Linked DNA regions of Kluyveromyces lactis. The protein of the gene in region 1 purifies or fractionates together with the protein of each later gene. This does not show direct contact. Links are inferred from orthologs where the notes say so. Each region holds a gene or a part of one and is shown in the gene's direction. Other genes may lie near its edges. The genes, in order: TIF5, HSP104, HCR1, TIF34 and FUN12.

Region 1 (5,928 bases):
ATTATTTTGCTGAAGTTCTTGCAATTTTCTTACAGCTAATTGAGTTAATTCAGGTTTTTTATTCAGTTTCTGAGATGTCTTCAATACAATACCCCAACCTTTCACGTAGGCTTCTGCCAACTCAACAGATCTCAACGCATTTGATAAACTTGATTGCAAAGCAGCTTCAGGGTCAGAATCTGATTGAGACTTCAAGTAATGCAAATAAGCTAATTGACCAAATGCTTCATAACTGAACGGCACCCCAATTATGACTTCTTCCATGCAATATATTGCTTGACGTAGGTCCCCAGCCTCCTGGTATTCTTGCGAAAGTAACGACCATATTTCTGCATCTAGAGGAAACTTCTCAACCAGATCCAGTAGTTCTTTTACCCATTTTTCTTTACTCATCGAAGGTCTCTCTATCGCAAGTAGCCTTTTCTTCATCTGTACGTAGTCTTCTGAATCAGTAGCTATTTCCAGCTGATTCTTGATCAAATCCTCGATATATTTCTTAGCCGCATCATCGGATCGAGTGACCTGTATTAACATAGAGTGCATCACATGAATTCTTGGAGAATCGTCACCTAGACGATCTGTCACAGTTTTGTACAATGTTTCAGCCTCTGTGTCTTCACCACGAACAAGACAAAGATAAAACAATAATTCGACCATTGAGAAATAACTAATTTCGTCAAGCCCATTTAACCCAGCATCTATCAAAAGTTTCGTTTCCTTATAAGCCAAATCAATTTCTTTAGGTGGCAGAATGGCCCATGCGCCAGTCTTATGGATTGCCAGTAATTTGTTCTTAAGTAAATCCATGATATGAACAAAGTTAGATTTCGACCCTAAGATGTATGTGAGATTCGAGCACAATTTCAACACAGTAAATTACTCACTAAATTCCACGAGCAGTAATTGTATTGAAGGTATTCAAACATTTAACACCACCATACGTATCTCACCCATGTTATACCCTGTAATATGTCTCTTACAGAACCGATGCTTAAACAATCACAGAGCCAAATGAATCGTTGGAGCTAAAGCACGTGACACATGCTCCGTTTCGACATGTATTTTCATATCACCATAAACGACGAAAATTTTTCAGGAATCAAGGCCTCAGTATCTGATTGCCACACGCGAAGAGTTGAAGTTGAACTTCTAAGAGATGAGATGAACTTCTTCCATATACATGATTCAAGAAGGCGTTAATGACCCCGTTTTACAGTCCAATACAGGATCAGTTCGAACTTACTTTTAAAAGTTTTTGTGTTTTCCAGACTTGAAGAACGTCAAAGACACGGTGGTAGCAGAAACAAGTGACTAGAGATTAGTAACAGTAGCCGAAGATGTCAATCAATATTTGCAGAGACAACAATGACCCTTTCTACCGTTATAAAATGCCTCCAATTCAGGCTAAGATTGAAGGTAGAGGTAATGGTATCAAAACTGTTGTTATGAATACCATGGATGTTGCCCGTGCTTTAAACAGACCAGCTCCATACATCATCAAATATTTCGGGTTTGAATTGGGTGCCCAAACTGCTATCAATGTTGAAAATGATCGTTACATTGTCAATGGTGCTCATCAACCAGCCAAATTACAGGACGTATTGGATGGTTTCATCACTAAGTTTGTCCTTTGTGGATCCTGTAAGAATCCTGAAACTGAAATTGTTATCACTAAAGATGGTGATTTGGTTAGAGACTGTAAAGCTTGTGGTAAGAGAACCCCTATGGATTTGAGACATAAGTTGTCCTCGTTCGTCTTAAAGAACCCTCCTGACAGTATGAACGGTTCCAAGAAAAAGAAGAAGGCTGCCACTGCGTCTGCTAATGTCAGAGGTGGTGGTCTTTCTATTAGTGATATCGCTCAAGGTAAATCCCAAGCTGAAGCTGGTGACGATGCCGAAGAAAACGATTCCGATGATGATGAATTGGCCAGACAAATTAATGCCGCTGCCTCTAACTTGGCTACCATTGAAGTCAAGGATGAGGACTGGGCCGTTGATATGTCTGAAGAAGCCATCAGAGCTCGTGCGAAAGAATTACAAGGTGAAGCTGACAAAGAAACTGGCGAATTCTCCAAGTTGGAAGAATTTGGTGAATGGGTACTACATGAAGAAGAACTACCTACCGATATTGAATTATACAAAAAGATTGCAGAACTCGAGCTTCTGGAAGATCCAAAGGTTGCTGCAGTTCTGGCCCAAGTTCTTTTCGATGAAGATATCGTATCGGATATCTCTGAACATACTGCGTTCTTGCAAAAATTATTGAAGGACGAAGACTTCGAAAAGAACTTTTTGGGTGGTATTGAAAGATTCCTTGGACTTGATCACCAAGAATTGATCCCATTACTACCAAAGATCTTGGTCCAATTATACAACAACGACATCATTTCCGAAGAAGAGATTATCAGCTTCGGTACCAAATGCTCTAAGAAGTTTGTACCAAAGGATGTTTCTAAGAAGGTTCGTAGAGCTGCCAAGCCATTCATCACTTGGTTGAAAACTGCCGAAGAAGATGATGAGGATTCGGAATAAAGAAAATCATGATCTTATAAGAAAATGGTCAAAGTTCAAATACTATTCAAATTTTAACCAGATTTTTCGGTGTTTCGTTTTCTATTTATCATCCTAACCATCTCCTTGTTTTGCATTAACAGAATAAATATCATTTTCATTTTATCAAGAGCGAACTAAATCTCTTCAATATTTATCCTTTAGCTCTGTAAAATACTGTATGTATACTATCATATATACGCATATGTTTAATACATTCATGACCTTGCGCATACATCATTAGCGGCTCAAGAATGGCACTGATAGGTGCGCCGTGCCGACCTGCCCTTGTCTTCTTATAACCTATTTATTGTCTTTCAATATTCAGCTGTGATGATCCTTTTCTCTCTTTTGTTTACACTTTCGTGGAAAAAGAAGACACAATTTGAGATCAAATCATATTTACATCCTGAATGGACAAGAAGAATACTAGGTCCTGTCAAAAGAGAAGAATAGGGTGCGAATCTTGTTGGAAGAAGAGTAAAAATACACTTTCATCAGACGGTTTCATTACATGAATGATCTGTAGGTTTGATTTCTATGGCGTACTGTAACAATGAATGATTCCAACCTCTCGTCTGCAATGGATCTTTCATTCCTGTCAGAGGAATCGAGTTTGCAGCAAATAGGCTCTTTGAACACGCCTAAATTGCCCAAAGCAGAAAAGCGTAAACGTGGTAGACCGAGAACTAAACCTGTTGTACCGGTTGAATTAGATGCAAATGGAAATCCAATCAAAAAACAACGAGGACGACCACGAAAGAACCCAACCACAGAAGCTCGTAAAAGCGCCAAAAAAGAACCTATATTGGATGAAAATGGTCTTCCGGTAAAGAAACGGCGAGGAAGGCCTAGAAAATCTCTAATTGATCCAACTAATATATCTTTTACTTCAGAATCTAAGAAGAATACTACCACTGATAATAATAACAATATCCAGGACACATCAGGAGGTATTCCAAAAGCTTCGAGAGCTAAGCATTCTCACAATGTTCTTCCAATTCCAATTCAGCCAAAGAAACGAGGACGACCCAAGAAAACTGAATCGATTGTGAGCGTAAGGACAGAACAATTGCATGAAGATATGAACTACTCAAATGATATGAAACTTAAGATTGAAAAGATCCTACATAAGAAAGATAACTACCCAAATCTAATCTCTTCCAGAGATACCTTTGATCCTAAAAAGTCGTCACACCGGAGTGACGTGAGTGAACTTGAATCTTCCCCGGTTAAAGATAATAGCCAACGAAAAAGTATACATTGTGCGTCAAGTAGTATTGCGGGAGTGACGGACAGCATTTCAGCGTATAGTAGCAAAGGTTCAACATCATTATCATCAGATGACTCTTATAAACCTGAAGTTGACCCGCTCGAAAAAGTACAATCAGATCATCGAGCAGATAAGGGCCGAATAGAGTTTGGTGATAACACAGCATCTGATCAACTTCAAAGAGGCACTGACAGCGCAATTCAGACACAAGCACCTCGGAAAAGAGGAAGACCAAAAAAATTACGAGATGAGACTGCGGAGCCAAAGATAAAAAGACCCAGAGGGCGTCCACCAAAGGACAAAGACAATAAAGATAAAAATCAATCTGCTTCTAACACCGAAAAGTTACCTGAAAATCAATGGACACTAAATGACATTATAAGTTGCAGAATGCAACAAAAGGATCAATTAGAAGCTTCTCCAAAGAAAAAAATAAAACTTGCGAAGACAGCAGCTCAATTAGGGATTAATGACTCCAAGGGTTCCCAGGTGGGAGAAACTTCATTTATGCAATCTGTTGAAAAGAATAAAGATGTTTTCTTAGACTTTAAGAAGAACAAAGAAAAAGCCACAAAACCCAACACAATCTTGGATGACAGTTATGATGTCTTCAGTTTTGACAACAATGGAACGAGCAACTTTGTGATACCTGAAGAGGCGTTCCCTGCTCAGAGCAGTAAAAAGAATAAAACCGAAAAATCAAGCCCAATGAAGCCTTTAAAAGAGCAACTGGAACTTATTGATACTGATATAGCATTCAGCGATGAAAGTGAAAATGATAGTGATTACTCTCCCAATGACAACCAGGACGGAGTTCATTCATCACCTGTTCAAAGTTTACCAGATCGTGAACGAGATTTGCTTCGGCCTAAGCAGAATCCAATAGATGAGCCAGAACTCGCCAATGACGTTTCAAGAGCTCAAAATAGAATGGAACAGGGTGCCGATATTAGCAATGAGCTAGTCGAAAGTCACGCTAACAATTTGGGTGCGGATAACACGGAGCGAAGAACTTCAAACCGATTATCAGATGAATGGTCTTTATCTTTAACATTCCAAGATGTCAACGGGCAAGGAACACCAGATGTATCGCCCTCCAACAAGCCAAAAGTATCTTTCGCACCATTTCCCTCCTCACCAGACGTGGACACTAAAGCTGTCATTAACAATTCTAACCATTCTACGGATCACCCACATCTGGATCAAAAATACCAAGATGCAGAATCAATAACGCAGACCACTCCTATTGAAAGCCTACCAAAATGGAACGTATTACATAACAGTGAGCTAACTTCCTTGAGTGAGGATGTCTTAACACTTAATAAGTATTTCAGCGATCTGTTATTGTACATGAATAGAATTGATGCTTCATTGGCTTCTGATTTAACGGGTGAGCTGACTTTTTTCATAAACAGCATGCCTAATGAGGAGCTTGCCCTGAACTTCAAGAACTGGATTGATCAGAAAGGAAAGGAGATTTTTGAATCTTTTGAAACCACCATTAATACAAAAATAGAGACATTACAACGACAATTCTCAACAGCAAAGGAATTCATACAGCAAATCGATGACGACTCCGTCTTGCTTGAGTTTGCTAATAGGTTTAATATTGACTTCTGACGAAATACGTCAACTACATAAAAACAGAGACACAAACATAGGGGTTTCTACATATATCGATTGACCAAACAACGGCGTCGAAAAATTGTATTAGTATTATTAGTATTATAATTGTTATCATTATCATCGACACTACGATCATATTTCTCCGTGCTAATTTCTTCACTTAACTTGAGTTACTCCTCAATGATTTGATCATCCGGAGTTTCTCTATTCTGTTCGTTTCCGGGAGGTAAGAAGAGCCTCAAATCTATATTATTATCATTGTTATCAGTTTCTTCAGCCACAGTTCCTCCTGGTGGTAATAGCATATTGACACCCATGTCAATATCTCCCTCTCCGTCAGGAAGATCATTAGCAGCCTCTCTGTCCCATGTTTCCCTGGCACGTTGTAAAACCAATTCTCTTTGACGGGTAAGTACTGTCAAACTTTCCTTCACGTAAATTCTCAACACTAAAGCTGTAATCTTAAAATTTCTCATT
Region 2 (7,044 bases), on another chromosome or scaffold:
AAGCGTCCGGGACGCTGATGATATCCCCCGGAGGAGAATTGCTTGAATTTATTCTTTTATTCATTTGTTCAATGCGATACACCCTAAGAAATCCTCCCTCATTCAATCTCTTTCTTCCACACCAATAATACCCTTAAACACAATTACAATCATCATTATAATTCTATATGTATATTTATTGGTCACAAAAAATGCTACCTGATGTAGCTCGTTTATAACTTTTTTAACATCATATTTATTCTATCAAACCATATTCTAGCTACGTTACTTTAATTAAACGGACGTTGCGGTTGTGATTACACTAATGGGAGAGCTCTATTAATTTCGCTGTCCAAGGATATATTTGCTGTCCCAATATTAAAAAAAATACTCGAAGGTACTTTAACAAAATTAATGGACGTGCACGTCCCGCGACAGAATAAAATTCAAAATAAAAATATATACACTGAGCACAGAAACCAAGATGTGCAGTGACACAAAGGTTTCTCTTACCTATTTTCTGACATGGCTCTCTGATTCTGTATTTGTACCCCATTCCTTGTCACGCTGAAATATTTTAAATATATAAACCTCTTTGTATAGGATAAAATTACTTCTCTTTTTACCGTCACAAAAGGCACTTCTCTTATTCTACTTTACAGTATTATTACCACCTAGAAACTCTCTAAGGAACTTTTTAAATAAGCACTCGTATTCCAACCGGTTTTTTAAACAAGTCCAGGAAAACAAACTTACCAAAGTCTTTATTCAATTACACTTAAAAGAATATATCTGTCATGCAACAAAAAAAGCTAATTCCAATTTTAGTCGCTCTTCCAATAGCACTAGCAGGTGCTGATAGAGAGTCTGCGCCAGTTGTTTATGAAAATCCAGAGAAAGCCTGCTACCTTGCAGAATTTCCTCAGGTTGGCTCCGATAAGGTTGGTGGATACATCACACTTTCACTAGTCTTGATGGAATTGCCAAGGTAAACGTCAGAATATCGACTTTGGAGCCAAAGCTTCAATATCACATCCACGAAAAACCAGTTGATCCATCCGATCCAACTTGTGAGTCTACAAAAGAACACTTGAACCCTTACAATGGGCAGGTGCCATGCGGTAATGATATCTCCAAATGTGAAGTTGGTGACTTAAGTGGTAAGTACGGTAACATCGACTACAGTTATTACGAGACGGAATATTTGGATCCATACTTATCATTGATCGAGGGTGATCCCGCTTTTGTTGGAGGTAGATCAATTACCTTACATTATTCTAATGGTACAAGATATGCATGCGCTGACATTGTTCCATGTGAGAAATTGAAGCCATCTCCAAAACCACCAAAGGAAGACAAACTAAAGGAGGACGAACCAAAGGAAGACGAACCAAAGGAAGACAAACCAAAGGAAGACGAACCAAAGGAAGACGAACCAAAGGAAGACGAACCAAAGGAAGACAAACCAAAGGAAAAAGATCCAAAGGACGACACATCAAAGGACGAAAAGTCTGAGGAAGAGAAGCCAAAAGAAGATAAAAAAACCAAGAAAGAGAAGAAAAAGGCTAAGAAGGAAGAAGAGAAAAAGCAAAAGGAAGATAAGAAGAACAAAAAACATAGTGACAAGAAGAACAAAAAACATGATGATGATGATGAATACTCCGAAGCTGAACCTTCAGTGACTGAAGAAAAACGTGTTGAGACGAGTTTCACCAAGAAACCACATCACACTACCTCTGCTGCATTGAAGGAAGGTTACAAAGAGGTAAAGAACGAAACGGACACTGAATGGAAAACAGATGACGGTCACTACAATGGCACTGAGACTGATCATTCTACTGCCCTAAATGATGCTTATAATTGGAAGAGAACTTCGTCCATAGGCTCCATTATTGCTTTCATGATGTCCTTGTTAATTTGATTCAAAAACGAAAGATCATCACGCACATGAGCTGGAATATCTAGTTATACATATGTAGATCTTACAAGGAAAATAATAATATGTTGCTATCCAAAACTTGACACAATGCCAATGATATTGTCTTAATTAACGTGAATTACAAAACTGACGCCTGACATCGAAACAGAAGTGCGTTCCAAAAACCTAGCGTTAAATTTCAAAATCTATCACGTGATGGTGATCCACTTGTTCCAGTTTTTTTCTTCGGTTTTCTTTGTGGACATGCACTTTCGAGAGTCTTCCAGAAAAATCCGGTAATGTTCTAGCTATCACGGTTCCGGACTCTAGCTTAGAGCAGAGTGAATTTTAAGTAGCTTTACAATCCCCACACAGCTTCTACATTGCCGTAAGCAACATGCTGGGATAGCTGGTTGTTTGATCTAGTATTCAACTAACAATAAGGACGTACTTACAATTTTCTATTTTACGTAGCCATGAACGTCAGTCCCAACGGTAATTTAAAAGCTTAACCTTGAGTGAGTGAATTATTCGAGAATGTACTGGTTTATACTGGAAAAGTAATGTAGTTGTTAGAGCTTTGTTTGTCTGTGAATTGGGCAATACTAAAGCTGGGACTGGTACCGGGAGATAGGGGTTGAGGTATATTTTGCTTTGCTATTAGTTTTCTTAATAAGGTGATTTTAGGGTATCTTTTGATAGATGCTTATAGAAAGAATAGGTGAAAAAAAAAGTTTATAGAATATAAGCGTAGTGAAGAGGTATATAAAGGGAGACCATCCGAAGAATCATTTGTTGAGTGCTTCCTGCTTTGGAATTCAATTACATCAATTGTATCAATAGTGGTCTATCTGATAGAAATAAACAACAATTGTCAGGATCATCAAACGCATCAACAGTTTATTGTCTAGAAAGAAGATATTACTACAATGAACGACGAAACACAATTTACAAATAAGGCCAACGAAATTATCCGTTTGGCCCAGAAATTGGCTCAGGATCACAGACATGCTCAGTTACAACCAATTCACTTACTTGCTGCATTTGTTGAGCCAAACGAGGATGGTTCTGTTGGATTCTTACAAAACTTGGTGGAATTAGCGAAATATGATTATGAACCTTTGAAAAGGGCCATCAACAGAAACCTAGTCAGGACTCCATCTCAGACGCCCGCACCATTAGAAATTCAGCCAAGTTATGCTTTCGGGCAGGTCTTGAAAGATACTTCAGAAATTAGGAAACAGCAAAAAGATTCATTCGTCGGTCAAGATCATATATTGACTGCTTTGTTCAAAGATGCAACAACTCAAAGCATTTTTAAGGAGTGTTCCATTGACATAGAATCTGTGAAGCAGCAGATGCTCGAATTGAGAGGCAATCAACGAATTGATTCAAGAGACGCTGATACAAATGAAAAATGGGAATATTTGAAGAAGTATGCGATCGATATGACTGAACAGGCTAGAGCAGGTAAGTTGGATCCTGTTATCGGTAGAGAAGAAGAAATTAGAACTGCCATCACTGTTCTTGCTAGAAGAATCAAGTCAAATCCATGTTTGATCGGTGAGCCAGGTATTGGTAAGACTGCCATTGTAGAAGGTGTTGCTCAAAGAATTATCGACGATGATGTTCCACAAATTCTACAGGGTTGCAAATTATTTTCTTTGGATCTTGCTGCATTGACGGCTGGTGCCAAATATAAAGGTGATTTCGAGGAAAGATTAAAAGGTGTCTTGAAAGAAATCGAGGAATCAAAGACTTTAATTATATTATTCATCGATGAGATTCATATGTTGATGGGCCAAGGTGTAGATGATTCTGCCAATGCTGCTAATATTTTGAAACCAGCCTTATCTCGTGGTGGCTTGAAGGTAATTGGTGCCACTACCACTAACGAATATAGATCTTTGGTCGAGAAGGATGGTGCTTTCGAAAGAAGATTCCAGAAGATTGATGTCCCTGAACCAACGACAAGGCAAACGGTAGCTATTTTGAGAGGTTTACAGCCAAAGTATGAAATACATCATGGTGTTAGAATTCTAGATAGTGCCCTAGTGTCTGCAGCTCAACTAGCTAAGAGGTACTTGCCATACAGAAGATTACCTGATTCTGCTATTGACTTGGTTGATATTTCATGTGCCGGTGTCGCTGTTGCTCGTGATTCTAAGCCCGAAGAATTAGACAATAAAGAGCGCGAATTGCATTTACTACAGGTTGAAATCAAGGCATTAGAAAGAGATGAAGAAACGGATCCAACGACAAAAGAAAGGCTACAACAAGCCAGACAAAAGGAAGCTTCATTAATTGAGGAATTGGAACCAATGAGACAGCGTTACCAACAGGAAGTGGATTCTCATGAACAACTAAGACAAGCCAAAAAGAAGCTCGATGAATTGGAAAACAAATGCATGGATGCCGAACGTCGTTACGATAATGCTACCGCAGCTGATTTGAAATACTTTGCTATTCCGGATATCAAGAAACGTATTGAGGAATTGGAACAAAAAGTTGCTGAAGAAGAATCCAGGGAAGGTTCTGAAACAATGGTGAAGAACGTGGTTAACAGCGAGGTTATTGCCGAGACTGCCGCTAGAATGACCGGTATTCCAGTGAATAAACTAACTGAATCTGAAAACACAAAGTTGATCCATATGGAACGTGAGTTATCGCAACAAGTTGTGGGTCAAATGGAGGCTGTGAAAGCCGTTTCTAACGCTGTCAGACTTTCTAGATCTGGTTTGTCTAACCCTAATCAACCGGCATCTTTCTTATTCCTAGGTTTATCTGGTTCCGGTAAGACTGAATTAGCTAAGAAAGTCGCATCCTTCTTGTTTAATGATGAAAAAGCTATGGTCAGAATCGATTGTTCAGAATTGATGGAGAAACATTCAGTTTCGAAATTATTAGGTACTACTGCCGGTTACATTGGTTACCAAGAAGGTGGTTTCTTAACTAATCAATTACAGAGAAGACCATACAGTGTGTTGTTATTTGATGAAGTCGAAAAGGCCCACCCTGATGTCTTGACCGTTCTTTTGCAAATGTTAGATGACGGCAGAATCACTAGTGGTCAAGGTAAGACAATTGACTGTTCGAACTGTATTGTAATTATGACTTCTAATTTGGGTGCCCAATTTATCAATGCTCAGACTGGATCAAAGGTTACTGAGGGTTCCAAAGAGTTGGTGATGAGTGCCGTTAAAGCACATTTCAGACCAGAATTCTTGAATAGAATCTCAAGTATCGTGGTATTCAACAAGCTTTCTCACAAGGCCATTCACAAAATTGTTGATATCAGAATCAAAGACTTGGAGAAGCAATTTGCGGATAATGATAAGAATTACAAGATCAACGTTTCACCACCAGCTCGGGATTTCTTGACCAAGAATGGTTACTCGGAGGATATGGGTGCTAGGCCATTGAACAGATTAATTCAAACCGAGATTTTGAACCCAATGGCAATCCATATCTTGAAGGGTGAGATCAAAGACAAAGAAATTGTCAATGTAGAAGTGGGTGCCGATGGATCTCATTTAGAAGTTTTACCAAATCACCCAGCTTCATCAGAAATTGGTGATGAAGACATGGATTTGGACTTGGACGACGATGACGACTTAGACCTAGACTGATCTAAAATGAATTACAAAAAGAAAACATACAAACAAACTCACTCAGTAATAAAATTTCAGTTCAACAGTACCATCATATATAGTGTAAAGTACATATTTTTTTCACTTTCTTTAGTATAATATTTTGACTTTTACATGTTTTCATGTTCATAAGAGGTGCAAACCAATGGTGCTGCTGTTATTCATACAAGCGTACTAACTAAGCATTCTGGCTGAGTTTGTATTACATGTTACTTAGATGGGCAGGGTTCTTTCAGCCTTTTTCACTGATTTCCCAAGTCAGTAAGTCCAATTTTGCACATGATTCAAAAGAATTTGATTGGTCTTTCTTCAAATCATGCTTCTTTCCTCACGAATGTTAATCTTCGGCTTTTTTCCTCTTCTTCCCTCGTTCCGTGGAGTTATTGGCTGAGTAACATCCCATATACCTTTCGTTCTGGGCATCGCTAAACATGCTTGGTAAAGAGATAGACGTAGATCATTTTCCCTGAAAGGCTTCCATTATTACATGTCAAAAATTAGCAGGCAATCAGATGGACTAAAGCGTACGCTCGCATTTGGATACGAGCCTCTCTATAATTCGAAGACACACGTACCAATGTGTGGGATAAGACGCAAACGCGTCGGAAGGGAAGGAACGGAAAAACGCTTATCGGCCTCTAAGAAAGAATGCAGAAGCGAAGAAAATCCAGCACTGTAAATTCGTTTCATTTCGTAGATTCATCTCAGGTGCCTATTTTTTAGTTTGTATGCAAAAGGACATGTGTTCTCCTTGGTTTTTTTTATCTACAGAATGAAGGAGGCCGGATCTTGGCAGTAACTGTTGTTCGGATTACAAGATTGAAATGTTTCTGGCTTATTAAGAGTACAGGAACTTGAGGGTGATTTACCGGTACTTTGTTTGGTTCGATTTACTATTTTATTGATTGATTGAATTATGTCTTACAATTGCCATGGTTACCACAATTCCTATTGTGCTAACAGATACTATAATTATTATTTATTTACCTGTGCCACGCTAACTAGTTCAAGTGCGGATTTGTTTTGCATATAAGGAGAGCAACCCGTTTTTTCCCAACTCTGCCGTTGCATTTTTCCAACACCGTTTTGAGTATGAACAATGTGCCGTATTTGCATGCAAGTTAAAAAGAAAAAACAGTCAATAATGCCACTGTGGGTAAACTCATAATTGTCATGTTGCCAGGGTTTCTTTCCATACCAAACGCGTACTGGAGGTAATCGACTTTTTTTTATTCTAAATCAGGAAATTCAAATACCGTGATGCAATGCCACTACATCAATATGTACATTCCCGAAATTTCCGTTGGTGGATTCCGAACCACCTTTAGCTCCTCGTGCATGAGGCACTTACAGTCGCGTCTTGGCTGGACCCGTAGTAGTATATAGCTATCTATTCTATATATCGTATACCCGATTTTGCATTATCTTACAGCCGAGAGCCTGTGCTTACATTTCCGGTTAAACAGTTTGAGATATTAGGGTGATTTCTTTTTGTAA
Region 3 (5,517 bases), about 1.2 Mb from region 1:
TATTAAATAGAGGGAAGAAAGGCTATGCAGTATTATATGTACAATTACATCTGTTTCAAGTTGTCAGGGTCTGTGTCCCAATGTTCATGAAGACAGAAGAAGTATCTTTTGATTACTTTTTAAAGTTCATTTCGTTACGTTAATAAAAAAGGAGAAGGGAAGAAGAAGGAGGACTATATAGTCTCATTATGCAAGTGTGAGGGATGAAAAGATAGGAAGGAGAAGAGCTGATCGGTGGCGATTCACTTGAAAAGACTCTTCAATTTGGAGAAGAACCCACTCTTTGATGATTTTTCGTCCACGTGACTCGATCCGTTGTCTCCAGTGGAGGAATTCTTAGAGCCCTTCTCATCCCTTTTCTTTCTTGACGATTTAGGGCTTAGTATGTTCCCAGCACCACCTCTACCGATCGATATGGTCTTTGGAGGTTCCGAGAAGCGTCTCGACTTGATCTTTTTGATGGTTCCTGTATTGTTTGAAGAAGTCACGTCTATCACGTCGTCATCGTCAACATCCTGTGCGGTGCGTGTCATAACCGGGTCCACATTCCTCCTCATATTACCAGCACCACCGCGACCCGTAGAGTAAATTGGCGATAGTATATTGGGGGTCTGGGAACCCTGTGTCACAACCTTCGGTGAAGGTTTCTCGTTCGACGTTATCATGTTTCCTGCGCCTCCTCTTCCAGTACTTACTCTATATTCACCCATGCCGATATATTGAATAATCTCCCAAAGATACTTTCTTTATTATTGCGTTGCCAAACAACTATTCCAGATTAGGTCCACTTGTCACGAGCCTATATCACAATGGTTAGATTGGACCAACAACTATTAAATGGATGCACATTTTATGTTTTCAATACTGACATGTATATATAAAAAAGGTTCGGATCGAGAGTTGATCATTAATTGTGTGTTGGTCAAGGAATCGATGATAAGGGACCGAAGGTCGTATGGGATGATGAGGAGCCTGGTGCATGAGTGACGCCAGAAAAAGTAACTATTTAATTTTGAGAAATAGGTATCAAAAATAAATTAATTTTGGAGCGTCATAATGGGCAGAACAGGATATGAATACGTCAATTGGGTACCATTAAAAGGGAAGTGATCATTAACATGTTATATGGTGCCAGTGGAACTCTGGATAGACAAAAAATCGTGGTCTATAGCAGGGTATTTTCGTTCTACATGCAATATGATGGTTTGACGTAGCAGTCTTTGCGGCAGAAGGGAGGGACGGAGGAAGGAAGACCACTGCCCCGGGTAACAGCTCCCAAAAGACCCAAAAATCGAAATTTAATGCCACCCATAAGCATCTTGACAAGAATTTGTAACGAGGACAATCAATAAACACTTGCTTTCAGCAGCTCTACCCTAACCGAGATCAATTATCAATCAACAATGTCCTGGGACGACGAAGATTTTGCAGTGCCAAGTGGCTCCAAAGAGAAGCCAGTGTTGAATTCATGGGATGATGAGTTCGCTGAAAACGACGATGAGCCGGTACTAGAGTCCTGGGAGGACGAGGAGACTGCTAAACCTAAGCCTAAGGCAGCAGCAGCAGCTGCAGCCAAGGCTCCAAAGAAAGCCTCTCCATCACCAGCTGCTACACCAGCTGCTACAAAGAACACCATGCTCGATATCGATACTCTTGACGACAAGACCCGTAAAGAACTATTGAGAAAGGCTGAACTGGAATCTGATTTGAACAACGCTGCAGACCTTTTCGGCGGTCTTGGCGTCGCAGAAGAACATCCAAGAGCCCGCGCCGAACGTGAAAGAGAACAGCTTGCAGCTGTCGCCCAACCTGCTGCGTTGACCAAGGATACCCCAATCCAATCGCACCCATTGTTCTCGGATTTGGAAACCAAAAAAGATTACCAAGAATTAAGGAAAGCGTTGGCTACCGCAATCACCTCGACAAGCAACAAATCCTTGTTGAACTACTCTGGTGGACTAGCCATCGACTTGATCAGAGACATTTCCAAACCAATGACCGTCGAAAACATCAGACAAACCATTGCGACATTGAACGTATTGATGAAGGATAAAGAAAGAGAAGAAAGACAAGCTCGTTTGGCCAAAGTCAAGGGAGGCACCGCCACAGGCGGTGCCGGTAAGAAGAAGGCCAAGGCTACTAGGGCTAACCTCGGCGGTGCCTTCAAGAAGGATAACGATTTCGACCTAGGTGGTAACGATAACTTTGACGATTTCGGAGAAGACGATTTCATGTAATAGAAAAAAAAAACAGATCTCATCACATATCATCATCACATATCATATATAGAACGTAAACAATTGAACTGTTAATATTGCCCAAGTCTTGTTCGCTAGCCCGGTCGCTCTTTCTCTCTCTCATCTACCGAATCTGAGAGCGCTCTTGACTCTCCACTGGCCCAGTGCTGCCTCAAACCAGTACAACAAGATCCGATCCACGCTACATCCCACGCTACGAAGTGAAAAATCATCATGGAAATCCGGCAACAAAGAAAAGCCAGAGAAGACCAGAGGAGAGCAAGCCGGATATGTATCAAAACAAGGGTGGATGAACCAAGTCGTGGAGTCGACGGTATATGATTGTTCCTATTCCGCGTTTGAACTGTTTTTTTTTTTCTCAGCTATGAACTTGTACTTATATATATATATATATATATATGTATAATCGAACGCCGTCTGTATTCCGCATATCAATATACTATATAATAAGGTAACAACTTGGTAGAGAAACTTGGTAACTTAGCAGCTGTTTTGTGTACTTGTTATCGCAAAGTGCAAGAAAGACCAGAAACGCAACTCAATGTTCAGGTTTGTTGGAAGATCCGGTTTTGCTTTGCGTGGTTCGCTGCAACTACGTAAGGACGTTCTGCGTTCTAGGACCACTGCCGTTGCAAAAAGACATTATTCGTCTTCTAACGGTAATAACGGCGGTGGATTTTCGTCCGCCATTTTAAGCGTTCTTGGTGGTTCTTTAATTGGTGGTGGGTTTGTTGCATATGCTCTAGGCTCTCAGTTCGAGAAGGAAAAGTCCGTGAGTGATTTGTCCATTGCTAGATTGGAAGACCTTGATTCTCCCGAGTACTGTGATAAGGAAACTTTTGCTAAAGCTCTTGTTGAATTGAAAGATGTCTTAGAAAACGATCCTGAAAACTTCACTGTGGCTAAGGACGATTTGGATGCTCATTCGGATACCTATTTCAACTCTCATCATGCTGAAGCTAATCAAAGACCAGAAATTGTTTTGTATCCACGCAACACAGAAGATGTTTCCAAATTATTGAAAATCTGTCACAAATACTCTATCCCAGTGATCCCATTTTCAGGTGGTACCTCTTTGGAAGGGCATTTCCTACCAACTAGACCAGGGTCTTGTGTCGTCTTGGATATTTCAAAATATTTGAATAAGATTATTCAATTGAATAAAGAGGATTTGGATGTTGTGGTACAAGGTGGTGTTCCATGGGAAGAATTGAACGAATATTTGAACGATCATGGTTTGTTGTTCGGTTGTGACCCTGGTCCAGGTGCTCAAATCGCCGGTTGCATTGCTAATTCTTGTTCTGGTACCAACGCTTATCGTTATGGTACCATGAAGGAAAACGTTGTTAATATTACTATGTGTATGGCTGATGGTACTATTGTTAAGACCAAGAGAAGACCTAGAAAATCGTCTGCTGGTTACAATTTGAACGGGTTAATTATTGGTAGTGAAGGTACTTTGGGTATCGTTACTGAAGCTACTATTAAATGTCATGTTAGATCTACTTTTGAAACTGTCGCTGTCGTTCCGTTCCCAACTGTCAGTGATGCTGCATCTTGTTCCTCTCATTTGATTCAAGCCGGTATTCAATTGAATGCTATGGAATTGTTGGATGATAACATGATGAAAATCATCAACCAAAGTGGTGCTACTTCAAAGGATAACTGGGTCGAATCTCCAACTTTGTTCTTCAAGATTGGTGGTAGATCTGAACAGATTATTCAAGAAGTCATTAAAGAAGTGGAAAAAATTGCTTCTCAACACAACAATACCAAATTTGAATTTGCTACTGATGAAGATTCCAAGCTAGAACTATGGGAAGCTAGAAAAGTTGCTCTTTGGTCAACCATTGATACCGGCAGAAAGACCAACCCAGATGCCAACATTTGGACAACCGATGTTGCTGTTCCAATCTCGAAATTCGCAGATGTTATTAATGCTACCAAGGAAGAAATGAACGCATCTGGTTTATTAACCTCTTTGGTTGGTCATGCTGGTGATGGTAACTTCCATGCATTCATCATCTACAACACTGAACAAAGAAAAACAGCTGAAACTATTGTTGAAAATATGGTCAAGAGAGCCATTGATGCTGAAGGTACTTGTACCGGTGAACACGGTGTCGGTATCGGTAAGAGAGACTACTTGTTGGAAGAAGTTGGTGAAGACACTGTTGCAGTTATGAGAAAGTTGAAGCTCGCTTTGGATCCTAAGAGAATCTTGAATCCAGATAAGATCTTCAAGATTGATCCAAACGATCATCAACATTAATCTGACCCTCGGTTCTATCATTAATGAATGAATGACGCTAATGAAAATGGTAATACTAACTAATGTTATACCAGATACGACGACGAACTCTTCCCTAAAAACAACAAAAATAGACTATAAGGTAAATTCCCTGTAATTATTACGCTCAATCCATACAAACTGCCAGTCATTATTGTTAATCATATTCAAAATAAAACACCATAACTTTGGTATTTAAGAGCAGCACTACTAGTCATCATTAACCTCACGTTCCTCTACATCAAAGGTGCAAATGGACTGTCTGATCAAAAACTGACGCAAGTCAGAAATTAGGTTCGGCAAGATTTATAGCCGCAATGTACTCATACGTAAGAAACTAGAAAACTCTATAAAGCCTAAAAAAACCTGAGATATAAACATTAACCAAGTTAAGAACCAGCACATTTCTAATCATGTGACTAACGAGTTAGATGAGATCCGATTCATTGTTCACCATTCATTATATTATTCACTGAACTTTCTGCGGATTGTCTAAAACGACAACATAGTAACACAAATTCATTCTTACAAGTTTCATAGACTATTCCGATGGATAAGTTGACAACCGTCCTGAATGTCTTTCAAAGTGAGACTCTCCACCTTCTGCAGCAAAGTGATTGCTCTATTTCTGTTCTTTTTTCCTGCTCTGTATGTCTGTCTTTCTCAAACGCAAAATGTTGATAGCAAAAAAAAACGATACTACACGGTGTTTGACGACAGTTTGCTAATTGAAGATGCTAAGAAAATATACGCACATATACATGGCAGTATTCGTGGCAGTTAATATTCTCTGTGGGATTCAATCTGTACTGGTATTTGTGGGATAGGATCCCCAGACTCAGGGAGGGTTTGAATGTGTACTTGATATAGGTTATGTAATATTATCAGCAATCGGATCATAATGATGAGACCCCGATGATTAAATGGATCGATGTCCTTGGGCATTTCATGGAGGTTCAAATTGCGTCA
Region 4 (5,807 bases), on another chromosome or scaffold:
TCTTCTATGTTTACCCTCTGTTCTCGTATATCTGTAGATATCAAAACGTATCATATACATAGCTCGTTATAGAATGCTTTCTTAGGCTTGAAGCGTAAAGCACTATTTTTCTTCTGTAATTAATTAAGAAGACCCCTTGAACGGTTTTAATTTGCCAAACATGTCACCTACAGAACAGTGTAGTAAAAGAGAGAAAATGAAATAAAGGGCCAGGCCATCATAGTACGAAAACGCCCTTTGTCAAGTCCGTTTTAGAGAAAAACTATCAGAACAAATGCGGTCGATGGTATTTACAATATATTCCATCTGTCCGATCGGAACTTTTACCCATTCTCTGTGTGTTTTTTGACACACTTCGCAGATGATGTTACCCTTCCCGTACTCTTTCCACAGCCATTCATGGATTTCTCGCTCCACGTGACCTGAATCTTTACAGCGGAATCCGTTTTCTGTAAAGCATCTGTCAGATTTATTTCTTGATCTGCCTGTGTCAGTAATGGTGGTGCTGGTGATAGTAGTATGTTTTACAATGTTACTGTGGTTGTTTAATGCCAAACGACATAACTTCTGAATGACATTCGACATTGAATTTATGCTCTTGGGTTTTGTAGTGGAGGAGACGATCCATTGACGAACTATTTCGGGCGTTATTAGTATAATGTCTCGTTTGCACTGTTTTTGCCATTCATTAATTCGTTTAGAAACATCACTTCTTCTTGTCATACCTATTTTGATCAGAATTTCGTCTTTATTGTGCTGCCAGGGATCGAAGCGGTTGTTACGTAGGATCAATGCTTGATTCTTACTGGGTTTCATCTTACTATTGTCGGTTACTAACCATGTAATCTCTTTCCTATTCTTCTTTTCCACGACAGCATTCTCATGTAACGTTGCGTAAGTATATATGTAGATGTATTCTGGGGTATCTTCCGGTATATAGGGTGTTTTGGTTGGGCTGGAGGTTCCGTTGTTTTGGTTAATATGATGTCTACAGAACTTTCCACCCTCTATGGCTTTTAGCTTGCATTTTGATCCCTTTCGTGTGGTACCAACGCATTCTGGGGCATCATGCGGCATATGGGGTGCTTTAGTTGCAATAGAGGTTCCGTTGTTTTGGGTACTATGATGTCTACAGAACTTCTCACCCTCTATGGCTTTTAGCCTGCATTGTGATCCCTTTTGTGTAGTACCAACGCATTGCGTTCTCATCAGGTTGTCTATCCTCTATTCAATGACAATGGCAAGTATAGCTTTCTTTTCTTTGTATCCTTTTCGATCTCATCAGATGGATTGTTTTCTAAATGTCAATACACATAAATATCTATTTCCCGTCTTCTTGATAGAAAAATCTGAACATGTAAAAACACCATCATCAGACAATGGAGACCAAGCACAGCTGATTTGAAACAATGCTTATCGAACAGTGTCACCAGGATTTACCAACATCTTTCGATTCTGAAATCAGAATACATATCGTGAAGCCTACCGTTAAGGGCTATCCAAATGCTAAATTCCCTGCTGTGTTAGTCTTCTCTGAAATTTATCAGGTTACTGGACCTGTTTTGAGATTCGCTCAAACGATTGCTGCAGAAGGTTACATTGCCATTTTACCATCTTCATACCATAATTTTGTAGATTCTACACCCTTGGCGTATGATACTGAGGGTACTGATCTAGGTAACAAATTCAAGATTGAAAAACCCTTAGAATCGTATGATGAAGATGTTACGTTGTGCCTTGATGTACTAGAAAACCTACCACAATGGAATGGAAGAGTTGGTGCAACTGGCATGTGCTTAGGTGGACATTTGGCCTTCAGAGCTCAACTTGACTCCAGAATCAAGGCTACAACATGTTTCTTCCCCACTGATATTCACTCTCACTCTTTAGGTTTGGGCAAGAATGACGATTCATTGGAAAAGGTTACAGCCAATTGGAAAAAGGACCAGGAATGTTTCTTGATTTTTGGTACCAAAGATACTCATGTGCCATGGGAAGGCAGAGATCAAATTAGAAATGCAGTGAAGGATAAGTCTGTCACATTTTTAGAAATCAACGGTGCTCAACATGCATTTATCAGAGACGAATTCAGCAAGGGGAGATTCGATTCCGCAGTGACAAAAGCATGTTTGGGTTTTATGTTTGAGTTATTTGATAGAAAGTTGAAGAGTGAACTAGGAGAGTTCGTTGACGACAATGCGCCTGTCGAGCATGTTTGTTAGACAATGCGATCCTTTCATGTGAAGCCAACTATACATTGATATATCTATATACTTATACTTATACTAGTGCAGCAAAAACCAAAGGTTTCAAACCAGTACCCATAATATGTCATGGAATCTCGTTCTGAGATCCGTATGGACACACTCTGAGAGTTTATCATCACCAAGTGACACAGTACTTCTACTTGGGATGCTATTTTCCTCATTACCCTACCTTTAACAGATTTCTTTTATCAGTAAAATTTTCCAAGCGTAAGTAAAGCCAGAGAGCGTATTATCACAGAGGAAGAAGCTTTAGAAAATGAAAAAGTGAAAGAAATTGATGAATTAGTGAAAAAAAATTCGAAATACACAGTGGGATTAACAATATATTTTCAAGAAAAAGCTTAGAGCAGCTTCAGTACTGGTTCAAGGATTATTCGGAACCAACAGCAATAGCAGATTCTGATCGAACTCAGAAGTATAAAATATTGAAAAGATGAGACCAATTGTTTTGAAGGGTCATGAACGTCCATTAACGCAAGTTAAGTTCAACCGTGATGGTGACTTAGTTTTTGCTTGCTCCAAAGATAGTGTTGCCTCTATCTGGTACGCTATCAACGGTGAAAGATTAGGTACTCTAGATGATCATTCTGGTACTATCTGGTCTATTGATGTTGATGAAAGCACAACTTATGCGTTGACTGGTGGTGCTGATTTCTGTTTCAAGATCTGGAAAGTTGCTACAGGTGTAGCAGTCCATTCTGTCTCTACCAGAAGTCCAGTTTTGAGAGTCGAATTTTCTCCAGACGGTAGCAAACTTTTGATTGTACTTGATGCCGTTATGGGTCACATTGGTTCCATTGTTGTTTACTCTTTGATCAGAAACGAAAACGGTGAAATCGTGAATGTGAAGGAGGAACCAGACTACGAAATTACAACCATCGAGCAAGCTACCAAGGTGTTCGTTGCATCTTGGTCCTACAATGGTAAGTACATCATAGCAGGTCATGAAGATGGTCAAATCAGTGCTTACTACGGTGAAAACGGGGAATTCGTTCAAGCAAAGAAGATCCACGAAAAGAGCATCAAAGATATCCAATTCTCTCCAGACAGAACTTACTTTATCACTTCATCCAGAGACAGTGTCGCTTCTTTGGTGGATGTCGACACTTTTGAAGTTCTAAAAACATACAAGGCTGATTGTCCATTAAATAGTGCATCTATTACTCCTCTCAAAGAATTTGTAATCTTGGGTGGTGGTCAAGATGCTAAGGATGTCACAACTACTAGTGCTCGTGAAGGTAAGTTCGAAGCCAGAATTTACCACAAGGTATTCCAAGATGAAATTGGCAGAGTTAAGGGTCATTTCGGTCCTTTGAATTACGTCGCCGTTTCTCCAACTGGTACATCATATGCATCTGGCGGTGAAGATGGTTACATCCGTTTACATCATTTCGATAAATCATACTTCGATTTCAAATACGACGTGGAAAAGACATTTGAAGTGGAAAGAAGGCAACAACTGCAAAAGCAAGAATAAACTTGGTCATTCATCTCATATCACACATCTCTTTTTCTTCCATCGATACAAATCTGATGACACCAGTGTACATTATCCATACTTTTCACAACTCTATTCTGGCACTAGATAACCTATTGACGCTCCCGTTTTTCATCATTCAATATTAGTATACCAATAACTAAACATCATTAGTTGCATATTATTTTACATACCAGAGTTCTTCCATTGCGAACTCTGCAAAGATGTGTCCGTTTACCCCAAAAACAGTGATCCACGGCTATTGGATTCATCGTTGTTAATAACTAATGTTTTCATTCATTGCTTATATTGCTAGGATTAATGCGGAAACGGTTTTGCTAGATAATTATATGTACATTCAATTACCCATGTAAATTAATGTAAAATAACCTAACCTTCAGACACAAACTTTTAGAAGAAACGTCCCATCATATGTGAGCCCGTCAGCTAAAATGTGTAAGACGTATGAAAAGATCTTTAAAACTTCAGTAGCATACTTCGTTGAGAGTAAACGTAAAGGTTTTCTATCGATGTAAGTACTTACCTTCTCTTCTCTGCTGCCAGTTTCTCAAGTCTTTCCTTTTCCTTTCTTTCATTTGCAGCTTGTTGTTTTTGCCTCAGGATTTCTGCATCGGATTCCATACGTTTCTTGGGATCACCTTGTTTCTTTTGGTTTTTACCGCTTTCTTGTTGTTTTTTAAGGTTCTTCTGTCTTGCCAGCTCACGCTGATTGCCTCTTGCCATTGTTCAGGTTTGATCGTATACGGTTCTTAGAGAAAGCCTAAAGAAAATACAAAAAAAAGGGAGCAAAAGAACAACACAACTAGTTAAAGTGTGGAGGAGTATGGCCCTACCAGTGAGATGCTCTGTCTCTGTTTCCTTTACGCAATCCAATGGCAGTTTTATTGCGTAAGTTGATTAACTAATATCATCATCTCATTTCAAAAATACTTCAATTTATAATTTCCATTCCAATTCCATAGTTTTCTCTTCGAGAAACTTGTCAATTCCATAAGCGGTACAATTGAAAACGAAAATACGAACGGTTGAAATCTAGAGGAGATCAAACGTGATTTACGGTGATTTATAGAATTTGTATCTTAATTCATTAACGTCAATTCTACATAAAAGTGAGAGATCCTTGCGTAAAACTATTCGATGTGTAAAAGTATCTTGCATGAAAATGTCAAACATCTACTGTTACTTTTCAATTTGGTAGTAGAACGTAAAACAACCGAATAATTCACAATATTTCCTTGATAAAGCGACTATTTAATCTGAGCTGCTCCAATTTACACTGGGCCGGTCAAGGGCTCTCCCTGCCAAAGAAGGTTCCTCTAATTCAGGTGTTGCCGCAGTTCCTGAATTTCAAACCTTACTTTTTGTTTTCGTATTATGCTGGAGTCTTATTCTGGAACTGTTCCTCGACCCTCACGTAGTAAACATCCATTAAGACCGAAAACAGAAAACCTTTAGGTAGCGAATAGGGATATCACATGACTAACATAACTTTTTCTCTAGTCTGTTTTCTCAGTGAGGTAAAAAGAGGTGCTCATTGGCTTTTAACGTACATAGAAAACATTCCTACTTAAATGTCTGCTACGATTATTTATGTATATATATACATATATATATATATATATATATATATGTTAAAAAGAGGTGAATAAACTTGAAATGCCAAGAGCTATACTTTGATACTTTATTTTCGAAGATGGACTTTCAGCTTGATCTGTTGGGCTTTATTTATAACCGTAGATAGCTCTCAAGAGATATCTGGTTGTGTTCTGATCTTTCATTTGTCATATAGCTTGATTTCTAATACGTTTTCTATTGTGGTTTATTCTGCGCTTAATTGGATTAATCAATACTAAAAAAAATACAGCGGCTAGCACTATTGAAACTCACGGTTCTTTACTCTAAGACATATTACTTGACAATCAAGAACTTTTCTAATACCATAGATTACTTTTGAAAGATTTGCTGCTGGTTAATTTGGATATTTTTCCTTTACCTGTTAGTGTAGTTTGTGGCAAGATCTCAAAAAGATGGCAGACACTCAA
Region 5 (6,886 bases), on another chromosome or scaffold:
TCTTTATCGATGCCGACCTCCCATTTGATTATCATATTACAAAAGCTATCCTTTCCTACTTAACTATATGAGACAATTGTTTTCTCATTTTACTGCGAAATTAGGTTGGTTACAAATCTACGCTATACGTTGCTATTAAACCACTAGCTTATGTTTGTAAAAATACCCTGTGTCAAGGGATGGACAACAGGCCAAAATCTGACAAGTAAACACTTTGTACTGGTGAATCTTTTATTACACAAAGTGTCGCCTTTCATTTATGTCTTGGAAAGCGTCACAAGAAAATGGAGGAATGAAAAAAAAAAAGGCATACAGTAAAACAAACGATGCTTCGACGAATTAAACATGCACTTACAATCAGCTTTCAGCTTTACATTATTATCTGATTGTCTGATTTTTGTCGTTGTTTTTGTTCTCATTCCGCCTCCGTTGTACCAGCATTAAAGCCTTTGACCGAGCTTACACCATTTCCATTACTTTACTAGAATAAGCCTTTAGAGCTTGAAAAATTCATTTTTCTATTTTTCAGATTTTTGATCTTTTGGCAAAAAAGAATACTAACCTCATCAATGCGACTCACGTAAGGCTTTGACTCAGGACAAGAGCGGAGTGAGCTTACTAACTGGCATTGAACCTCATTTGTATAATTCGAGTATTGGTAACAACTAGCCTGTGTTTTGCTCTCTGTCTCAATCTTTCACCCTACTTACAATCTGTGGTCCGATATTCTTTATGGAAAAAAGCAACTAGACATGTCTCACCATAATAATTATGCATTGGCTCATACGTTGAACCAGATGAAACCCCAACAGTTGAGTAACAATGTGTTCTTCGGACCCTTGAACACTTTATCACAGTATGACTTCTTGAGTAAGAATGATATCAAGTTTTTCATCAGTGTTGGTATTCCTGTTGAACGTGCAATGGAGTATGCCAGGAACATACAGTTGGACCAATTTATGATATGCTGTCTCGATAAAGAATTTGACCGTACCAGATTCAGTGATGATACCATGAGTAACATCCTGGAATTCAATAATAAGCATTCTGTGGACTTGAAAACGCTTATACAACACGTTTCTCTATCAGAAGAATGCGCTGCCCAACCTCTACAATCGCATTTGTACAGGTCTGTTTCGGAGTACACCACCAATATTTATACTGCTGATGGTGTGCACAAGTTTGAATGTTTCAATGATTTGATTACCTTGTTCAAGCTTGCAAAGATGGGGAACATTCTTGTCTTCTCTTCGAATGGGAATGATGAGAATTTGGTGATTCTTTTGATCAGTCATATGCTCAAACAGAACCCATCTATCAATGTTGTGGATGCTTTTAGTTACGTTAAAAACTTGAGACCTACCGTTAACAATATGAAAGAGGATAACATTTACTGGTGTAGCGGTCTCGTGGCTTACCATGAGCGTGTTAAATCCAAAGAACTGACGTGGAGGCCGGGGTCAACCAACGGCTCTTCGACTGAAATAACAAACTTTGCGACAAAAAGACGCGAGCAGTTTGAGGAGGATGAGGCAGAAGATGGAGATATATCTTTCGGAAATAAACCATATTCAGATGCTGCTAATGATGCAATGGAATCTATAGCATCAACTCCATTTTCTGAGAGCGACTGCAGTTATTCTTCTGATTTCCAAACTCCTGAGCCTGATAACAGTTCTGCATACAACGCAAGGCAATACGCAACTCCACGACTAAAAAGAATGGCGTTAAATAAATAAGGGATTTATTTCTCTGCGAATTTATCCGTTATTCAATGGAATACACTCTCATCAGTAGGCTGCATTTTCCTCCAGATTTCCTTGTTTGTTAATTCAAGCTGTACTATATCGCACCTTAAAAGGATTCATTAAAATACTGCTGTGATTTTGAGGATTCCACCAATACTATTCACATTCATTTCTAATAGAATAATATTCACTTCGTCAAATAACCGAAGTTTCATTCATTCATTCTTTCTTTCCATATCACCATCAGCATCCATCATTGCTTTTATATCTTAACATATATGTTGGCCAATATAAAAAGGCCATATGTATCCGTTGCTATCGATTTCACAAAATATCATATATTTACTACTATTTATGAATTTAAACATAACACGACAAATCAGTATTGAGTTAATGTTTAACAGAAGTTATGGCAACCTGAGTAATGAACGTTTACGATAATCTAACCAGATCCGTCTATGGAAAGCTGTTAAATAAAATGGATAACACTACATGAAAATGCGATGAAAATGCTAAAAACTATGATGACGGTGAGAAGAATGAGAAAAAAAAAGTAGCCTGTATTCATTTCTTCAAAATTGTGACAACATCTTCATCTTCTAATGTGTGATTAAGCCCCACATATTGAGGTTGATGCTTCACACTGCTGCCGTACACTAAAGCATTTCTGAAGTCCTCAACTAAAGATTTGTGAATTTGGTTACAGAAATCTCTTACGGTACACCTATCCGACCTTAACACCACTGGGTCTGTGAAATCAGGCATCGTACCCTTTGGCTTAGTATAAACACGGACTAAGTTTAGTCTATCCCACATAACTTCTAGTAGTTCATCCAAATTCCATTCCTTACCAGAAGAGATTGGAACTGCATTTGGAATTCTGTATAAAAGTTCCAATTCTTCTAATGACAAAGAATCTATCTTGTTTAGCACATAAATAGCTGGCATATACCTTCTTGATGGAGCTTCAAGTACATCAATCAAATCATCGACGGTGGCATCACATCTGAAAGCAAGCTCCGCACTGTTGATTCTATATTCACTCATAACAGCTCTAATTTCGTCCGGGCCTAGATGCGTCAATGGTACTGTATTTGTAATGGAGATACCACCTTTTTCCTTTTTCTTGATTAAAATGTCTGGAGGTTGCTTGTTCAAACGGATACCAACACCTTCCAATTCCTTTTCAATGATTTGTTTATGATGCAATGGTTTATTAACGTCCAAAACAATAAATAGTAGATTACAAGTTCTGGCCACAGCGATAACTTGTTTACCACGACCACGGCCATCTTTAGCACCGTCAATGATACCCGGCAAATCCAACATTTGAATCTTAGCACCCTTATATTTGATGACACCTGGAACCGTAACTAAAGTGGTAAACTCGTACTCAGCAGCCTCAGATTCTGTACCAGTCAGCTTAGAAAGTAAAGTACTCTTACCCACTGAGGGGAACCCAACAAATCCGACTGAAGCAACACCGGTCCTGGCCACATCGAAACCAACACCGGCACCACCACCACTACCGCTTGAAGCAGCCTGCAATAACTCTCTTCTAAGTTTCGCTAGCTTAGCTTTCAACTGACCCAAATGAAAAGAAGTGGCCTTATTCTTTTGGGTACGGGCCATCTCATCTTCGATGGCCTTAATCTTCTCTACTGTCGTAGACATCTTTTATTTCAATTCAGATATTGATCAGGAAATTCTTCAAAATAAATCCTTTTTTTATAATTTGATGCCAACCTCAGTGGAATACTGACTGATACCTATCGATTCCAACCGTTTAACTGATTTTGGCCTCTGTAACCAAACTATAATGAAACTCTAATATCATTAATCCTAAGCGATGAGATTGTGAATATCTGTAGAACTTCCTACTGTTGACAAAGATGAAGCTGTCAATTTTTTTCAAGCCGTCCAAGGTGATATTTTATACATCTTCAACGCCGATCGTAAATAGCGATGCTGAATGGCATCGACCGGTCTTCACCCCGAAAATAAGGCTAATGGGACCTTTCTGGCCCCTGAAAGATGAATTTTGGGCGCACCTCACCAAAGACAGGGTAATCTAGTATGTTATTTTTTTCTTTCCATCGAGGTACGTATAATCATGAACTTGAAGTTTTTCATCAGTTTTTTATTTTTTAGTACAGGTTTTTCTCACAACTTAAAACTATTTGAAAGATTGTTTTGCGTAAGATCAATTAAAAGGATTTTACATTATCTCTTTACTTGTTATAACCCTCTTTTACACTTTGTTTGCTGTCTATCATAATAAGATTTCGGAAGAACTGTAAAAGTAGAACCTTTGTATCCGAAAGAGTAGTTCAAGATGGCGAAAAAATCAAAGAAGAATCAACAGAATTACTGGGACGAAGAGTATGAGGAAGATGTTCCTCAAGAATCTTCAGTAGAACCCTCGATAGATGGTTCTGTTGAGCCAAGTGGTGAAACCGAAGTTGCCGATGCATCTGCCATTGAGGAAGATTTTATGTCCACTTTGAAGAAATCTAAGAAGAAGCTGGACAAGAAGGAAGACGAGGATACTAAGAAGCCAGTCTTGAAGTCCAAGAAGGAAAAGGAAAAGGAAAAGAAGGAGAAGGAGAAGGAGAAGAAGAGGGAACAAGCCGCAAAGAAGAAGGCTCAGCAACAAGCGCAGAAGGAAAACAACAAGAAACTTCATGCTGAACAAACTTCTAAACTGAAGGCTGAAAAGGAGGCTGGCAAGTCCACTGAAGGTGCGGCACCAAAGGCTGCACCAAAGAAGAAGGTCCCAGCCGGTCTTGCTGCTTTGAAACGTCAATTGGAGTTACAAAAGCAGCTAGAAGAAGAAGAAAGGTTGGCCAGGGAAGAAGAAGAGAGATTGGAGAAGGAAGAAGAAGAAAAGTTGGCCAAGGCTGAACAAGAAAAGGAAGAAGCTAGAAAGGCTAAGCGTGAGAGAGAACAAGCTAAGCGTGAAAAGTTAAAGGCAGAGGGTAAACTTCTAACTAAGAAACAAAAGGAGGAAAAGAAACTGCTTGAAAACAGACGTGCTGCTCTATTGGCTGCCGGTAACATCAAGGTTGCTGGTCTAGAAAAATCCGGCGATGAGCATCCAAAACCAAAGAAGGTTGTTTACGGTAAAAGAGTCAGAAAGACCAAGGAACAAATCGAGTCCGAAAAGGCAATCGAAGAAGAGAAGAAGAAAGCTACTGAAACTCAAGAAGTCGAAGAAGAAGAGGAAGCGTTGATTGATGACTGGGAGAATTTGGCTCTTGACGATGAACCTGAAGAACAAGAAGGAAAAGAAGAAACAAGTGAAAAAGAGCAATATTCTGGTTCTGAAACTTCTAATGCTACTACTCCAGCTCCGGAATTATCCACTGAAGTTACCAAAAACTATGCTTCTCAACCAATCCCTTCCAAGAGATCTGCAGCAGCAGCAAAGAAAGATCTTCGTTCTCCAATCTGCTGTATCTTGGGTCATGTCGATACTGGTAAAACCAAGTTGTTAGATAAGATTAGACAAACCAACGTTCAAGGCGGTGAAGCTGGTGGTATTACCCAACAAATCGGTGCCACTTATTTCCCAATTGACGCTATTGAACAAAAAACCGCAGTTATGGCTAAGTATGAAGAACAAACCTTCGATGTCCCAGGTTTGTTAGTCATTGATACACCAGGTCACGAATCTTTTACCAACTTGCGTTCCAGAGGTTCCTCTTTGTGTAACATCGCCATCTTAGTTATTGATATCATGCATGGTTTAGAACAACAAACCATTGAATCCATCAGATTATTGAGAGACAGAAAGGCTCCTTTCATCGTTGCCTTGAATAAGATCGATAGATTGTACGACTGGGTAATTACACCAAACAACTCTTTCAGAGACTCCTTTGACAAACAAGAACGAGCAGTTAAGCAAGAGTTCCAAACTAGACTTGACAACATCAAAGTCGCTCTTGCTGAACAAGGTTTGAACTCAGAATTGTATTTCCAAAACAACAACCTAGCCAAATACGTCTCTATTGTTCCAACATCTGCCGTTACAGGTGAAGGTGTTCCTGATTTGTTGTGGTTGCTATTAGAATTGACTCAAAAGAGAATGTCTAAGCAATTGAAATATTTGTCTCACGTTGAAGCTACAATTCTTGAAGTGAAGGTTGTTGAAGGTTTCGGTACCACTATCGATGTTATTCTATCTAATGGTTACTTAAGAGAGGGTGACAGAATCGTTTTATGTGGTATGAACGGTCCGATTGTGACGAATATCAGAGCCTTGTTGACACCTCAACCCTTACGTGAGTTACGTTTGAAGTCTGAATATCAACATCACAAAGAAGTCAAGGCTGCTCTAGGTGTAAAAATTGCTGCAAATGATTTGGAAAAGGCTGTTTCTGGTTCCCGATTATTAGTTGTAGGTCCAGACGATGATGAAGAAGAAATGATGGATGACGTCATGGAAGATTTGACTGGTCTTTTAGACTCTGTGGATACTTCTGGTAGAGGTGTTGTTGTTCAAGCTTCTACATTGGGTTCATTAGAAGCTTTATTAGACTTCTTAAAAGACATGAAAATTCCTGTTATGTCTGTCGGATTAGGTCCTGTTTACAAGCGTGATATAATGAAGGCTTGTACTATGTTAGAAAAAGCTCCTGAATTAGCGGTTATGCTATGCTTTGATGTCAAGGTTGATAAGGAAGCAGAACAATATGCTGCAGAACAACATATCAAAATTTTCAATGCTGATATTATTTACCATTTATTCGATGCCTTCACAGCCTACCAGAAGGAACTACTTGAAAAGCGTCGTGCTGAGTTTATCGGTGACGCTACCTTCCCATGCGTCCTGAACACTCTACAAATCATTAACAAGCGTGGCCCTATGATCATTGGTGTGGATGTCATTGAAGGTTCATTGAAGATCGGTACTCCTATCTGTGCAGTGAAATATGACCCAGCAACAAAGGAGAGAATAACATTGTTGCTTGGTAGAGTCACTTCCTTGGAAATCAATCACCAATCTGTGACTGAAGTCAAGAAGGGTCAAACCAATGCAGGTGTTGCAATGCGTTTAGAAGATCCTTCCGGTCAGCAACCAATCTGGGGTCGTCATGTTGATGAAAAAGATACATTGTATTCTCACATCACTAGAA

What was found.
Region 2: the proteins of TIF5 (region 1) and HSP104 purify together in Saccharomyces cerevisiae (affinity purification with mass spectrometry; 3 studies listed by BioGRID, with this or other methods). This does not show direct contact. The link is inferred for Kluyveromyces lactis from reciprocal best matches to the Saccharomyces cerevisiae genes TIF5 and HSP104.
Region 3: the proteins of TIF5 (region 1) and HCR1 purify together in Saccharomyces cerevisiae (affinity purification with mass spectrometry; 5 studies listed by BioGRID, with this or other methods). This does not show direct contact. The link is inferred for Kluyveromyces lactis from reciprocal best matches to the Saccharomyces cerevisiae genes TIF5 and HCR1.
Region 4: the proteins of TIF5 (region 1) and TIF34 purify together in Saccharomyces cerevisiae (affinity purification with western blotting; 13 studies listed by BioGRID, with this or other methods). This does not show direct contact. The link is inferred for Kluyveromyces lactis from reciprocal best matches to the Saccharomyces cerevisiae genes TIF5 and TIF34.
Region 5: the proteins of TIF5 (region 1) and FUN12 purify together in Saccharomyces cerevisiae (affinity purification with mass spectrometry, with the first as the bait; 3 studies listed by BioGRID). This does not show direct contact. The link is inferred for Kluyveromyces lactis from reciprocal best matches to the Saccharomyces cerevisiae genes TIF5 and FUN12.

What each region holds. Positions count from the first base shown.
Region 1 is NC_006041.1:549,292-555,219, reverse strand, and holds TIF5 (translation initiation factor eIF5), read left to right. Parts: upstream 1-1,337; coding exon 1,338-2,534; downstream 2,535-5,928. Other genes in the region: EMC2 (Emc2p), read right to left, coding at 1-807; BIR1 (survivin), read left to right, coding at 3,109-5,445; SCF ubiquitin ligase complex subunit GRR1, read right to left, coding at 5,622-5,928. UniProt on the Saccharomyces cerevisiae protein: Catalyzes the hydrolysis of GTP bound to the 40S ribosomal initiation complex (40S.mRNA.Met-tRNA[F].eIF-2.GTP) with the subsequent joining of a 60S ribosomal subunit resulting in the release of eIF-2 and the guanine nucleotide.
Region 2 is NC_006042.1:1,665,456-1,672,499, forward strand, and holds HSP104 (chaperone ATPase HSP104), read left to right. Parts: upstream 1-2,826; coding exon 2,827-5,526; downstream 5,527-7,044. UniProt on the Saccharomyces cerevisiae protein: Required, in concert with Hsp40 (YDJ1) and Hsp70 (SSA1) and small Hsps (HSP26), for the dissociation, resolubilization and refolding of aggregates of damaged proteins after heat or other environmental stresses.
Region 3 is NC_006041.1:1,750,068-1,755,584, forward strand, and holds HCR1 (translation initiation factor eIF3 core subunit j), read left to right. Parts: upstream 1-1,403; coding exon 1,404-2,237; downstream 2,238-5,517. Other genes in the region: PAR32 (Par32p), read right to left, coding at 243-710; DLD1 (D-lactate dehydrogenase), read left to right, coding at 2,800-4,530. UniProt on the Saccharomyces cerevisiae protein: Component of the eukaryotic translation initiation factor 3 (eIF-3) complex, which is involved in protein synthesis of a specialized repertoire of mRNAs and, together with other initiation factors, stimulates binding of mRNA and methionyl-tRNAi to the 40S ribosome.
Region 4 is NC_006042.1:694,893-700,699, forward strand, and holds TIF34 (translation initiation factor eIF3 subunit i), read left to right. Parts: upstream 1-2,700; coding exon 2,701-3,744; downstream 3,745-5,807. Other genes in the region: KLLA0_F07359g (uncharacterized protein), read right to left, coding at 241-1,209; KLLA0_F07381g (carboxymethylenebutenolidase), read left to right, coding at 1,410-2,222; KLLA0_F07425g (uncharacterized protein), read right to left, coding at 4,285-4,488; Cu(2+)-transporting P-type ATPase CCC2, read left to right, coding at 5,793-5,807. UniProt on the Saccharomyces cerevisiae protein: Component of the eukaryotic translation initiation factor 3 (eIF-3) complex, which is involved in protein synthesis of a specialized repertoire of mRNAs and, together with other initiation factors, stimulates binding of mRNA and methionyl-tRNAi to the 40S ribosome.
Region 5 is NC_006042.1:2,170,626-2,177,511, reverse strand, and holds the start of FUN12 (translation initiation factor eIF5B), read left to right. Parts: upstream 1-4,083; coding exon 4,084-6,886. Other genes in the region: KLLA0_F23331g (uncharacterized protein), read right to left, coding at 1-35; KLLA0_F23309g (uncharacterized protein), read left to right, coding at 753-1,739; GTP-binding protein RBG1, read right to left, coding at 2,313-3,422. UniProt on the Saccharomyces cerevisiae protein: Plays a role in translation initiation. Translational GTPase that catalyzes the joining of the 40S and 60S subunits to form the 80S initiation complex with the initiator methionine-tRNA in the P-site base paired to the start codon.